Notamacropus eugenii: one gene and its partners. The protein of the gene in region 1 interacts with the protein of each later gene in a biochemical or structural test. Links are inferred from orthologs where the notes say so. Each region holds a gene or a part of one and is shown in the gene's direction. Other genes may lie near its edges.

What was found.
Region 2: the proteins of S100A6 (region 1) and CEP43 form a complex in vitro, tested with the Homo sapiens proteins (2 studies listed by BioGRID and IntAct, with this or other methods). The link is inferred for Notamacropus eugenii from reciprocal best matches to the Homo sapiens genes S100A6 and CEP43.
Region 3: the proteins of S100A6 (region 1) and CACYBP are reported together in a solved structure, tested with the Homo sapiens proteins (2 studies listed by BioGRID and IntAct, with this or other methods). The link is inferred for Notamacropus eugenii from reciprocal best matches to the Homo sapiens genes S100A6 and CACYBP.

The regions. Positions count from the first base shown.
Region 1 is NC_092873.1:377,509,404-377,513,152, reverse strand, and holds S100A6 (protein S100-A6), read left to right. Parts: upstream 1-1,245; 5' UTR 1,246-1,412; intron 1,413-2,444; 5' UTR 2,445-2,468; coding exon 2,469-2,606; intron 2,607-3,198; coding exon 3,199-3,336; 3' UTR 3,337-3,457; downstream 3,458-3,749. UniProt on the Homo sapiens protein: May function as calcium sensor and modulator, contributing to cellular calcium signaling.
Region 2 is NC_092873.1:262,045,721-262,049,469, forward strand, and holds the start of CEP43 (centrosomal protein 43), read left to right. Parts: upstream 1-1,601; 5' UTR 1,602-1,688; intron 1,689-2,331; 5' UTR 2,332-3,193; coding exon 3,194-3,313; intron 3,314-3,749. UniProt on the Homo sapiens protein: Required for anchoring microtubules to the centrosomes. Required for ciliation.
Region 3 is NC_092873.1:471,566,766-471,570,514, reverse strand, and holds the start of CACYBP (calcyclin-binding protein), read left to right. Parts: upstream 1-1,477; 5' UTR 1,478-1,492; coding exon 1,493-1,558; intron 1,559-3,749. UniProt on the Homo sapiens protein: May be involved in calcium-dependent ubiquitination and subsequent proteasomal degradation of target proteins. Probably serves as a molecular bridge in ubiquitin E3 complexes. Participates in the ubiquitin-mediated degradation of beta-catenin (CTNNB1).

The DNA.
Region 1 (3,749 bases):
TATTGTTTTCCTCTTTTATAAAATGGGGAGTCCAGATACAGCTCTGCATCATGGACTCCCAGAGAAAAAAGGAAAGTGAAGAGGAATCAGAGGAGAAAGTTCCTTGAAATGAAATGTGCCATGGGAAAATCTCCCATAATTATAATGGGCATGATATCATACTTACGATTATGTCACATACACAGTACATCTAGCTCTGGGCAAAGCTGTTGAAGCCAGAGTTTATCTTCAGGTCACACCCCCTATCCCCACCGTCCCCAGTTAGGACCCTCTTCAAAGATGCCCAGTGTCCTTCTGGGGCTGTTTCCCTCTCGCTTTCCACACTTGCTTAACCTCTATGAACTCAGTTTTTTGCCTCAGTGGGCTTATTATGTAGAAAATAGTCTGCAAACTTTATAACACCGTAGAAATTAGTTGTTGCTGCTATGACTGTTATTCTTCACCCCACTCCACCCCTACAAGGAAGAAAGAAAGAAAGAAAGAAAGGAAGAAAGAAAGAAAGAAGGAAAGAAAGAAAAAAAGAAAGAAAAGAAGAAGAAAAGCCTGGCTCTCAGGAAATGTGGTGACATATTTAGCTATGAGTAAATGTCTAGTTAAGGCTTAACATCTTACTCTTAGAAATATCAGGCAAGGAAGAAAGTCTTTAAGTCAGAGGTGTAATGTTGAAATATTTGGAGAGGAGATAGTTTCTCCCTCCCCCCCCCTCCCCGCCACCCCCTCCCGGGTCTTTCCCTGAGGTCCTAAAGAGGATCTTCCACCTGAAGGTATGTTGTCAAACCTGGCATTCTGTTCTCTCCTCCACACACATACAGCCATGCACTGACTTTTCATGGGACACACACCAGGGACACCCAAATCCATGCACATACAACACGTGGGGGCCGTAACAAATAAAAGACTTGTGCCCAAATGGTCACATCACTTGCACCCGTAGTGGGGTGGAGGGTCGGCACCTCCAGAGTAACACCAGGATGGATGGGGAAAGAAGTAACGCCATTTCACAGGTGGCAAACCAGAGAGCCCTGACCAGAGCCCCAGAGCTCGGAGAGGCTGCGGTGGAGCCTGGCTCTCCCAGCTCGGCCTGGATCGCTCAGGCTCAGCCCGCTTTGTTGCCCCAGGACACAGAGCGAGCTAGAATGCGGCCGAAGCGCTCCGGTGGGAGGGAGAGGCCGGGAGCGAAGAGCAGCCGAAAGCCTGACTTGGGGTGGAGTGCGGTGGAGAGGGCCTCCCCCCTCCTCTAGGATGACGGAGATTGGGGAAGGAAGGTGGGGCCGCGGAAGGCCCGCCCGCCAGTCAGGAGGGGTGAGGATAGGAGCCCCAAGGCCTGGGGCTCAGACTATAAGAGTAGCTGGACAGTGACCCATCTCATCCTTAGGCGCCCACTTTTCGTCTTCGCTTTTTTTCTGCCTTCGGTGAGTACTTTCTCTCCCATCGGAACTCTGCCCAGCCCTCCTCCCTTGATGTCCTGGTCTCTCCCTGCCCAGCACGTACCCTATCCTGTCCTCTCGTCGTCCTCTGGGGTAGTCACTGGATTTCAATCCCTCCCTAGTTCGGTCCCTTTGTACTCCAGTGGCTGCTGAGATCTCCCGGGTTGTGGGGTCACATCTCTTTGGGGATAGCTGCCCTGCCTATTGATGCTTCAAGGGCACGGTCGGAGCAGGGGATAGGGTGCCAGGTGTTGGGATGGGCTAGAATTACTCCTGACACTCACTGGATGGGTCAGGACATTCTTCAGGTAAATCCTCGTGTGTAACTTTCTAGTTATGTGTAAGGGTGTGTCTTGCTGGATGAGGAGTGTGTGCTGCGGTGTTACTGTGGGTGTGATTATGATTGCAATGTAATGGTAGAGGAAGGAATAGGACCCTTGGGAGTCAGGAAATCTAGATTTGAGACCTCACTCTACCACTAATTGTGTGACCTTGGAGGAGTTACTGCAGTTTCTCAGTCTGTAAAATGTCAGAATTAGACCCAATGATCTTTAAAGGAAATCTCTAAGGGAAAAATCCCTTTGAGCTTTGATAATCTGGGAGTCTTAAAAGTGTGTGATTCTGTCTGGGTACAGGAAATTGATAGAAGTGTGTGTGGGTAGGCTGTGAATTTGAAATTTCCCAGGTCTGATTCCTTTCTCTTGGACTCACCTAGAACCTGGTCCTGTGGTCAAATCCACACTCCCACTTACTAAGTCCAGGATGAAGGAGCCCAGACTCTTCTCCCTGTCCACCCAATCTGACTTAGGCTCCTGAAAATCTCACCTACCTCCACTATGCCCAGCCCTACTGAATTCTCACCTTCATGACTTTCAACTCCAGAATTGTGGTTTAAAGGTTTGTGTCCTGGGACCGGAAGAAAAAGGCCCATCCCCTTGGCCTGGGTCCTGAGGAACAACAACTCTTTGGTTCCTTCTCCCTCCCCCACCTATTCATCTCTTCCTTTGTGGTTCTCAGCTCCCTCCCGTCTACCTGGCAGCTATGGCCTCCGTGCTGAATGAAGCGATTTGTGCCCTGATCGGCATCTTCCACAAATATTCAAGCAGGGAGGGTAATAAGAACACTCTGAGCAAGAAGGAGCTGAAGGATTTGATCCAGAATGAACTCGGCCTAGGATCTGTTAGTATCTCCCAGCTGGAGGGCAGAACTTTTCTTTTCTTTGCTCCCCTTTCCCTTATAATTGACTAGTCCTGCCTCTGCCCCACCTGGTCTTTTCTCCTTCAGGAACCCATTTAGGGTGGGGTGGGGCTGGGTGGAGGTGGAAGTGTGTGTGTGTGGCGATTACACTTTGTCCTCATTTGTTTCCTGGAGGGGGAGGGAGGAAGATGGAGGATGGGAGAGTAGGTTCTGGAGAATTGAAAGTGGTGGACAATGAATCCCCAGTGCTCTCAGTCATTCCAGATATACCTAAATCTGAGATCCCTGTTCTTTATTTTCTCAGTTAAGAAGTAGTAGGATAAGGGACAAAGTAAAAGAAAGAGCCTGGGATTTAAAAAAAAAAACAAGAAATGGATGGAATGGGGAATGTCCCGGATGAGAGAGCAGAATAAAGCCATGCTACAACTGGGAGCAATGTCTCCTGTTTCGAAGGCTGTGAGGGTGAGGGTGGGGGTGGGGGTTAAGTTGGGGGTAGTAGTGGAGGGAGGCTAACAGTGGAAGGGAAAAGGAGATCCCTTTAATAGATTTTGGATTTCCCACTCTGCCATATTAGAAAATGGAAGATGCAGATATTGCAGAACTGATGAACGGTCTGGACCAGAACCAAGATCAGGAAGTGAACTTCCAGGAGTATATCTCCTTCCTGGGAGCCTTGGCCATGGTCTACAATGAACTACTGAAGGGAGAATAAATAGACTTTGGAGAGGGAAACTTGGGGGGGGGGTGTGCTCCCCCTGCAGCCCCTTGATGGCCTGCCACAGCAATGGGTACATGGTGGGTGTTTTGTATATGAAATAAAGTCTGGAACTGTGTTTTGGTCTCTATGATTCTTGATTCCTCACTTGGTTGCAGTTTGTTTTCTAGTCTCTTTACCTTTAACTCTGTATTCCTTCCTTTTTTTTGTTTTTTGTTTTGAGGCAATAGGGTTAAGCGACTTGCCCAGGGTCACATAGCCAGTAAGTGTCTGAGGTCACATTTGAACTCTTGACTCCAGGGCTGGTGTTCTATCCATTGTACCATCTAACTTACCCCTTCCCCTGCTCCTTTTGAATTCTACCCATTTTTCTTGGCTTCTGTACTGTTAGAAGGGCTCCTCAGAGTGGG
Region 2 (3,749 bases), about 120 Mb from region 1:
ATGATCATTCGAGGGGCTCAACCCCACGGACAACAGTCCGAATGAGCAGCAGACGGTGGGCACGGGTTAGGTAGCTGCCCTGTGCCAGGCGCTGGGAATACAAAGAAAGGGCGACGGCGGAGAAACAGGGCTAGAAAGTGGCGCCGGCCACCCCCCGATCACTGAGGTCTACAGGGTGCGCACAGCGTGCCAGGGGCTTCACACTTACTGTCTCCTCGGGCTTTTTTTGGACATTTATAACTATTTTCAATTCAACACGCGAGAAATAAGCGCCAAACGCAAGCTCCCGCAATGCGGCTTTGTGGGAGCTGCGCTGGATGGTCTGGGGAAGTCATAGGTCGTGGCTGAAGCAGGGCTGCGGTGATCTCCCGCGGTCAGTCACTGTCCCGCAGGGGGCGCTGCCACCGATGGGCACTGCCCCGGGCAGCGTCGTCCTTAGGTCCGGGACAGGAGGAAGTCCCCGTACGGGCGGAGGGCCATCACTTCCGGCCGGGCTCTCCGCTCTCGGCCGTTTTCTCCGTTTCCAAGTTCTCTTCGCTCCGGTCGCGCGGCGTTGTCCTGGCTCCGGAGCGGAGAGAACCCCAGGCTTCTGCTGGCAGACATTTGAACCCCCTGCTGTGCGCTCCCCAGTCCCGGCCCCACGGTCCCACCCTCTCCCCAACGCTCGGACTTCCAGGCCCCGGCGCGCCCTCGGGGAGCTAGGAAGGCAGTGTCTGCGGAGCCGGCCGGCTGGAGGCCCCGGCGCGCGCTCGGGACGCGGCCGCTCACCCCCCGACCGAGAGGCCTCCCGGCGCTGGAGCGAGACGTTCGCTCTCCTCACCCCCCAACCCCTCTTTGGGGCTCGGCCCGCGGCCAGCACGCGCTTTTGGGGGTGGGGGGGGCGGGGAGAGGCGGAGGGAACGATGAGCTGCCTCTCATTAGGGACGGGCGGCATTGTTATGCCCATTTTACAGACGAGGAAACAGAGGCAGACGGAGGTTAAGCGACTTGCCCAGGGTCACACCTCTAGTAATTGCCTGAGGCCCGCTCTGAACTCAGGTCTCCCCAAATACAGAGAAGCAGGAGGTCGCCTTAAAAGGGGAACGCACTGGCACGGGGATGGAGGGTGGGGGAGGGGGAGAGCTGGGCCGGCTACTGGAAAGACCATGTGGAGGAGGAGGGGCACCAAAGAAAGCTTAGGGGCTCTCATGGGTAGAGGTTGAAAGGGAAGCCATTCCAGGACTGGGGGACGGCTGGGACAAAGAAGTGGAGACTGGAGATGGCACTCCATGTGTGACAAACGGCAAGCCCTGCCCTGTGGGCGGACCGGACAGGGATGTCATCGTGTGTTCAAAACAAAGTGAAACCTGGAAAGGATCCCCAGACCCTTTCAGGAGATCCATCATGTCAACATTATTTTAATAACGATCTAAGACATTTCTTATTTCTACTACGATACTCTTAGAGATCTTGTTGTTCAGTCGAGTCTGACTCTTGGTGGCCCCATTTGGTTTTTTTCTTGGCAGAGATAATAAAGTGGCTGGCCATCTCCTTCTTTAGCTCATTTTTACAGATAAGGGAACTGAGGCAAACTGAAGTGACTTGACCAGGGTCAGACAACTGTCTGGGGCTGGATTTGAACTCACAAAGGGGAGTCTTCCACTTCCACTTCCACACCTGACTGCCCCCACCAATGAGAGAGAATCCAGGTAAACAAAATCTCTTCATAATTTACATAATTATAATTTATATAATCACATATTACATATATAATCTTATTGTATATGTAGTATATAGTGTATATTTACACATTATAAGTTTACATATATACATACCCATAATTTTACACACAATTTATATATAATATAAATATATAAAAATATGATTGTGTATTAAAATGTATTATATATAACCATATAGAAATCTTGCATAATTTATATATAATTTTGTTATATATGATTCATGATCTGAAATAATTTTGTATCTATAAATCATGCATTTTATATAATTACATAATTTATCGTCTATTGTACACAGCTAACTTACACAAATTATATCTAATATAGTAAATATCTAATATGGTATATATTGTATCTAATATAGTATGTTATAATTTGTACACATACTTAGGTATATTTTATATATTATACGTATCTTTGTTGTACTTAATTTATACCTAATTAAAATTATGTATCATAATGATTACAATTTAATAGTTTTTAATAGTACCAAGGGGTCCTGAGACCAAAAAATCTGAAACTATCTCGAAGATTCTTTATAGCTCTAAATCCTAAGATTGCTAAAATGAGAAGGTTGGACTAGATGGTTTATAAGTCCCCTCTAACTCTACAGACCTACAGTCCTATTATTCTAACGTTTGGGAGTTAACCGGCACTCGAGACCTCTGCAACTTGTGTTTTCGTGGGAGATTCCTAGCAAGCTATGTTTTATTCTTCCAAACCTTGCCTGAAAAATGAAGCTCACGAGACTTTAAGAAAACATTTTAAAGAAAAAAAAACCAGTGAAATAACAAATATTCCCTTACAAATACATGAACTAGAAAACAAAATTTTGATATAACTTCTCCAGAATTCATTTATCAAATGACCTAAAGTAGGTGACGTGGCATTTAAGGCACCTTGTTAATTACTAAATTAAAGTAAAAAACAAAACCAGGCGAAAAATGAAAGTGAACTTAGAATCTTCTAGGGGAGACGGGAAGAGATGGCATGAAACCGAACACCAGCGAAGTCGAACTGACGCATGCGCACCACAAGGAGCGGGGGAGCATGGGCAGGGAGCAGGCCCGGGGAGACTTCGAGGCTGCCCGCAGGTGTTCTTTCCCTCGTGCTAGCAGGTCCCGGGACCATTCAGCGCCTCCTGCCTTGCGCCTGCGCGATGCGCTGCGAGCGCTTCGCCGCCTCCTCCGGCCCCTCCCGCCACCTTCTTTAAACCTCCCGCCTCCCCTTACGGGGGGTGACGGGGTCGGTCTAATTCCGGTCCGCACATTCCGCACCGACCCCCAGCCTGGAGGTCCGCCCCGCCCCGCCCGGGTCACCGGGCGACGTGAGCGACAGCGAGAGAGGCGCGTCGCGGCATCTCGGGGGCGGGGCCGAGGGCCGTCCAGCGTCTTCCCCTCCCGCCTCCCCGTGTCGAATCTGCGGCGGCCGTTGGGCCGTTAGCGCAGTTTGGGCGGTTGTCTTGGAGAAACAAAATGGCTGCTGCGACGGCGGCCGCAGCGGCGGTGGTGGCGGCGGCGGCGGAGGAGGATACGGAGCTGAGAGACCTGCTGGTGCAGACGCTGGAGAACAGCGGGGTCCTCAATAGGATTAAGGTGAGGCGGCCGGGCCGGGGCTGGGCGAGGGCTGCCTCGCCGGGGCCTTGGCGCCCCAGTTCGCGCGGCCCCCGAGCTGGAGCTCCGCTCCTGGGATCCCTCGGAGCCTGGGGCCCTGTGGAGGAGACAGCCGCGGGCCGGGACCGCCGGCGGGGAGCCGTGTGTGGGGAGCGGGGCCGGGGGTCACCGGGCGCTGGGGGTCACCGGGGGCGGGGTCCTGAGCTCATAATGGAGGAGCTTCCACCGCCCCCTTGGTCCTTAGCCCTCGCTCCCTGCTGCAGACCCTCCCCCCGCCGCCCCCTTCCTCTTTCCGGAGAAGCTGGGGCCGGGGTCACCCTTGGGTAGAAGGCCGCCGTCGGCCCGGCTCCCTGCTCGCCCCACGGGGTTCTGCAGGTGACTCCGCTCTCGGGGAGGAGCGGGGTTGTGGGGGGCAGAT
Region 3 (3,749 bases), about 94 Mb from region 1:
CATCTTTCTGTTGTCCGTGTACTAACTGCTTTCCTACTGCCTTAAAAAGCTCTCACTAGGTTTACACATCCCCACCTGCCATTATAGCCTATCTGTTCTTCCCTTTTCCCGCCAGACTCCTAGAGAAGACTCTCCACCATCAGTGTGTCTCCTTTCCTTTTTTCTCATTCTCTTAACGCTATAATTTTGACTTCTGACCTCATTCAACTGAAACTGGTCTTTCCAAAATGTAATAGCCTCGTCTCAATCCTCATCTTTCTTGACCTCTTTTCCTACACTGTTGATAATCTTCTTGATGCTTTATTTTCTCTAGTTTTGTGACACTTTCCTAGTTCTCCTACTTATCTCCTCCTCAGTCTTCATTCAGGCCTCATCTGATAACTTGAGACTGATTCTCTTTTCTTCCTCCAAACTATTTTATTTGGTGATCCCATTAGCTTCTATGGATTTAATTGTCGTCTCTGCTGATTCTCATATCAACTTGTCCAGCCCCCTGCTGACCACAGCCATGTGTCTTCAGTTTACTCTGTGTATATCTTGTTTTTTACATATTGTCTCCCTCATTAGGCTGAGAGCCCCTTTTTGTACCCGTCTCTTATCTCTGTTCTTGGCATATAGTAGGTACTTAATAAATACCAGTTGACTGACTTATGCATTTTGAACTGGATGTCCCATAAACATATTAAACTCAATTAAACCCATTGCATTTCTCCAAACACTTCCCTTTCTTGAACTTCCTTATTACTGTGTAGAATACTACTTATCAGTCACCTAAACTGATAACCTACGTGTCATCCTAGATCCCTGCATATTCAGTCTGTTAGCTTTATAACATCTTTTGTGTATTCCTTCTTCCCTCTTGGCTTTGCCCTCACCCTGATGCAGGCCCCTATCATCTCCTGCCTGTACATTGCAATAGCCTCTTCTTTAGTCTCCTTGCCACAGGCCTCCCCACTCCAGTCTGTCCTTCACCTAGCTGTCAGAATAACCTTCCAAAAGCAGGAGTCTGACATTGTCTACATCTCCTACCACCATGACCCTCCTTCAGCAAACTCCAGCGGCTCCCTGTCACTTCCAGGATCACCTCCTCTACTTGGCCTTCAAAGCCTTTCATATTCTGCCTGGTGACACTGACCTTCTTGGTATTCATCCCACAAGTTAATCCATCTTCCAATTTTGAGCATTCTCATACTGGTATTCTCCCCCTCCTCATGTCTGCTGGGCTTTCCTAAAGTTCCAACTCAAATTCCATCTTCTACAAGAAGCATTTTTTGATCCCCTTTAATGCTGGTGGTTTCTGTTGATTATCTGCTCTGTTGATTATCTCCATGTTACCCTGGGGAGTGTGCATGTTTGTGGTTTGTATGTAATGTTTGCATGTTGTTTTTCCCTTTAAACTGAGTTCCTTGAGAGCAGGTGATGTTTTGTCATTCTCTGTAACCACAGCGTTTGTTACCGCGTTGACTGACTTGACTGGAAAAGGAGCAGTCAGATGAGAGGAGAACCAGGAGAGAAAAGTGTCACAGAAACAAAGAAGGGAAAAGGCATTCAGAAGAAGGTAGTTAATGATCCAGTGCTGCAGCGAGGCCAAGGAGGATGAGGATTGAAAAGAGGCCATTACGTTTGGTTATTTGCCAATAGATGTGGTGATTAGTAGATCATTAGTCACTTTGGAGAGAACAATTGCAGTTGAGTGAGGTTGGAAGCCATTTTGCGGGCAGTCAAGAAGAAAGTAAGAGGAAAGGAAATGGAGCCAGGAAATAGTTGGTATTTTCAAGGATTTTGACAGAAAAAGTGGGGGAGAAATACAGGATAATAGTTAACTGGGCATGGTAGGATTAATTGGGAGTTTCTGCCCAGCATAGGGGAGACTTGCATATGTTTGTAGCAGGAGAGAAGGAACTTATAAGAGGGAGGAGAAAGTGAAGGTCTTAGAGGTAGGGATGATAGTGGAAGTACTGTGCTAGAGAAGATGGAGAGGGGTTGGCCTTGATGAGAAAGGGAATCTGCATCAGGAAGAAATTGTAAGGGATGATAACAGGGGGTTGTATGATGAGGAGAAGGGAGTCTGTGTTGCATAGCTCTGTTAGTTTGGGTTTTTTAATAAAGTATGAGAAGATCTCAGATTGGAGAGGAGGGTACAATAAGAGGATATGTACGTGTTCACATAACATTTGTGAGCTAGAAAACCATTAGGGACAGAATTATAGGAGGTTGCCTGGGGGAAGTGGCTTTAAAAGATTATTTAAGAATGAAAACTAGATATGGAGGGCCTGACAGTGCTGCTATTTGGGAAAGGATATATACCGATTACATTCTTCCAATATCATACTATATAATGCTTCCTCTACCATGGAATTTTGAGATGCTGGCCACAGCTACAATTTTGTGCACTGTGTGAATGACTTCTACAAGCATCCTTGCTGTGATGGCTTTTGATAAGAAATCAGTCATTTAAAAAAAGTGTCAAAATTTTGATTTTTATTAAGATACTCTTCAAAAGGCAAAATATTTGTCTGTTTAGGAAAATTGGTAAATTTTTGTGTTCATTCTAGCTGAATACTATAGGAGAATAAAAGACTCATTTTTTTTATTGTAAATGTTTCAGTACAGTCTCAATTTTATTTTCCATAAAAATATTGTGATAGAAATGGTAGCTTTGAACTAAAATATCCTTTTCTGTTTTATATCAAGCTAGATATGAATACCATTATGCCAATGCATTTGTGCAGCTAAGTTAGAAAAAACAATTGTATAAATTTCTTTGCTGTGCTTTGATTATGTATTTTTAAAAATATTTTAAATAAGGCATTTTTAAGTGGTCATGATTCAAGTACCATTCTGTCTGCTTGAGCCTCAGTCTTTATTTTAGCAGCTGTCCACATACAAATCATTGAGTGCTTTTTGCTGTTAGACACATTTTTTTTTTTAAGCCAGGAATTCCATTAAAATACTTGTTCTACCATCAAGGTAGACTCTTAAACTGAGATAACTCATACTTAGGCTATTATGTGTGAAAGAAAACAGAAACATATATTATTTTTTAATTTACTTTTTTTTAAAATGCCTTATAGTCATCCATTAATTATTCAAAAATGGGATTTTGGTGGGTGGAGAATCATTTGTAGCCTTTCCCCTCTCTCTTCCTCTTCCCTCATTTCCTCCCTTTCCCCCCAATTTTTTTTCCTCTAAATCTCAGGCTCCTGGTAGTACAGCTAGACTAGAAAGGAGTTAGGGGAGGGCAAAGATAGACACGTCTCTGGGAGTTTCCATAAAATACAAAGTAAACATTAAGAATTTTTTAATCATCTCTGCATCTGCTCCCCCAAACAGAGCTAAATGCATTGAGTTTTAGGAAATATCCCAGTAAAGTTGAGTTAGTAGAAAGAGAACTGGAATGGTAGGGGTGTTAGTTAAATCTGCTTTGCTTCACGTACTTAAAGAAATGTTTGTTCTATGAGCAGCAACACCATATGAGTGATGCCATTGCTGTTGAAGCCATTAAAGTACATCATTGACTTCCAAAGAGTAGCACTGGTGTCACGTTGTATTAAGTGCACTCAAAGACATCATAGATTTGCTGATACCACAGGAACAACATTTTTCAGTATAGAAAAATCCTGAGGTATAGAAAAGTCAGATCTCCAACCAAAAATTTTGGTACGTAGTTACAGCATAGTAAAATAAGTTGAACAAAATTAAGGCTGGGGATTTGGGGGGATTGTAGTCCCACTTCATAGGATCATAGA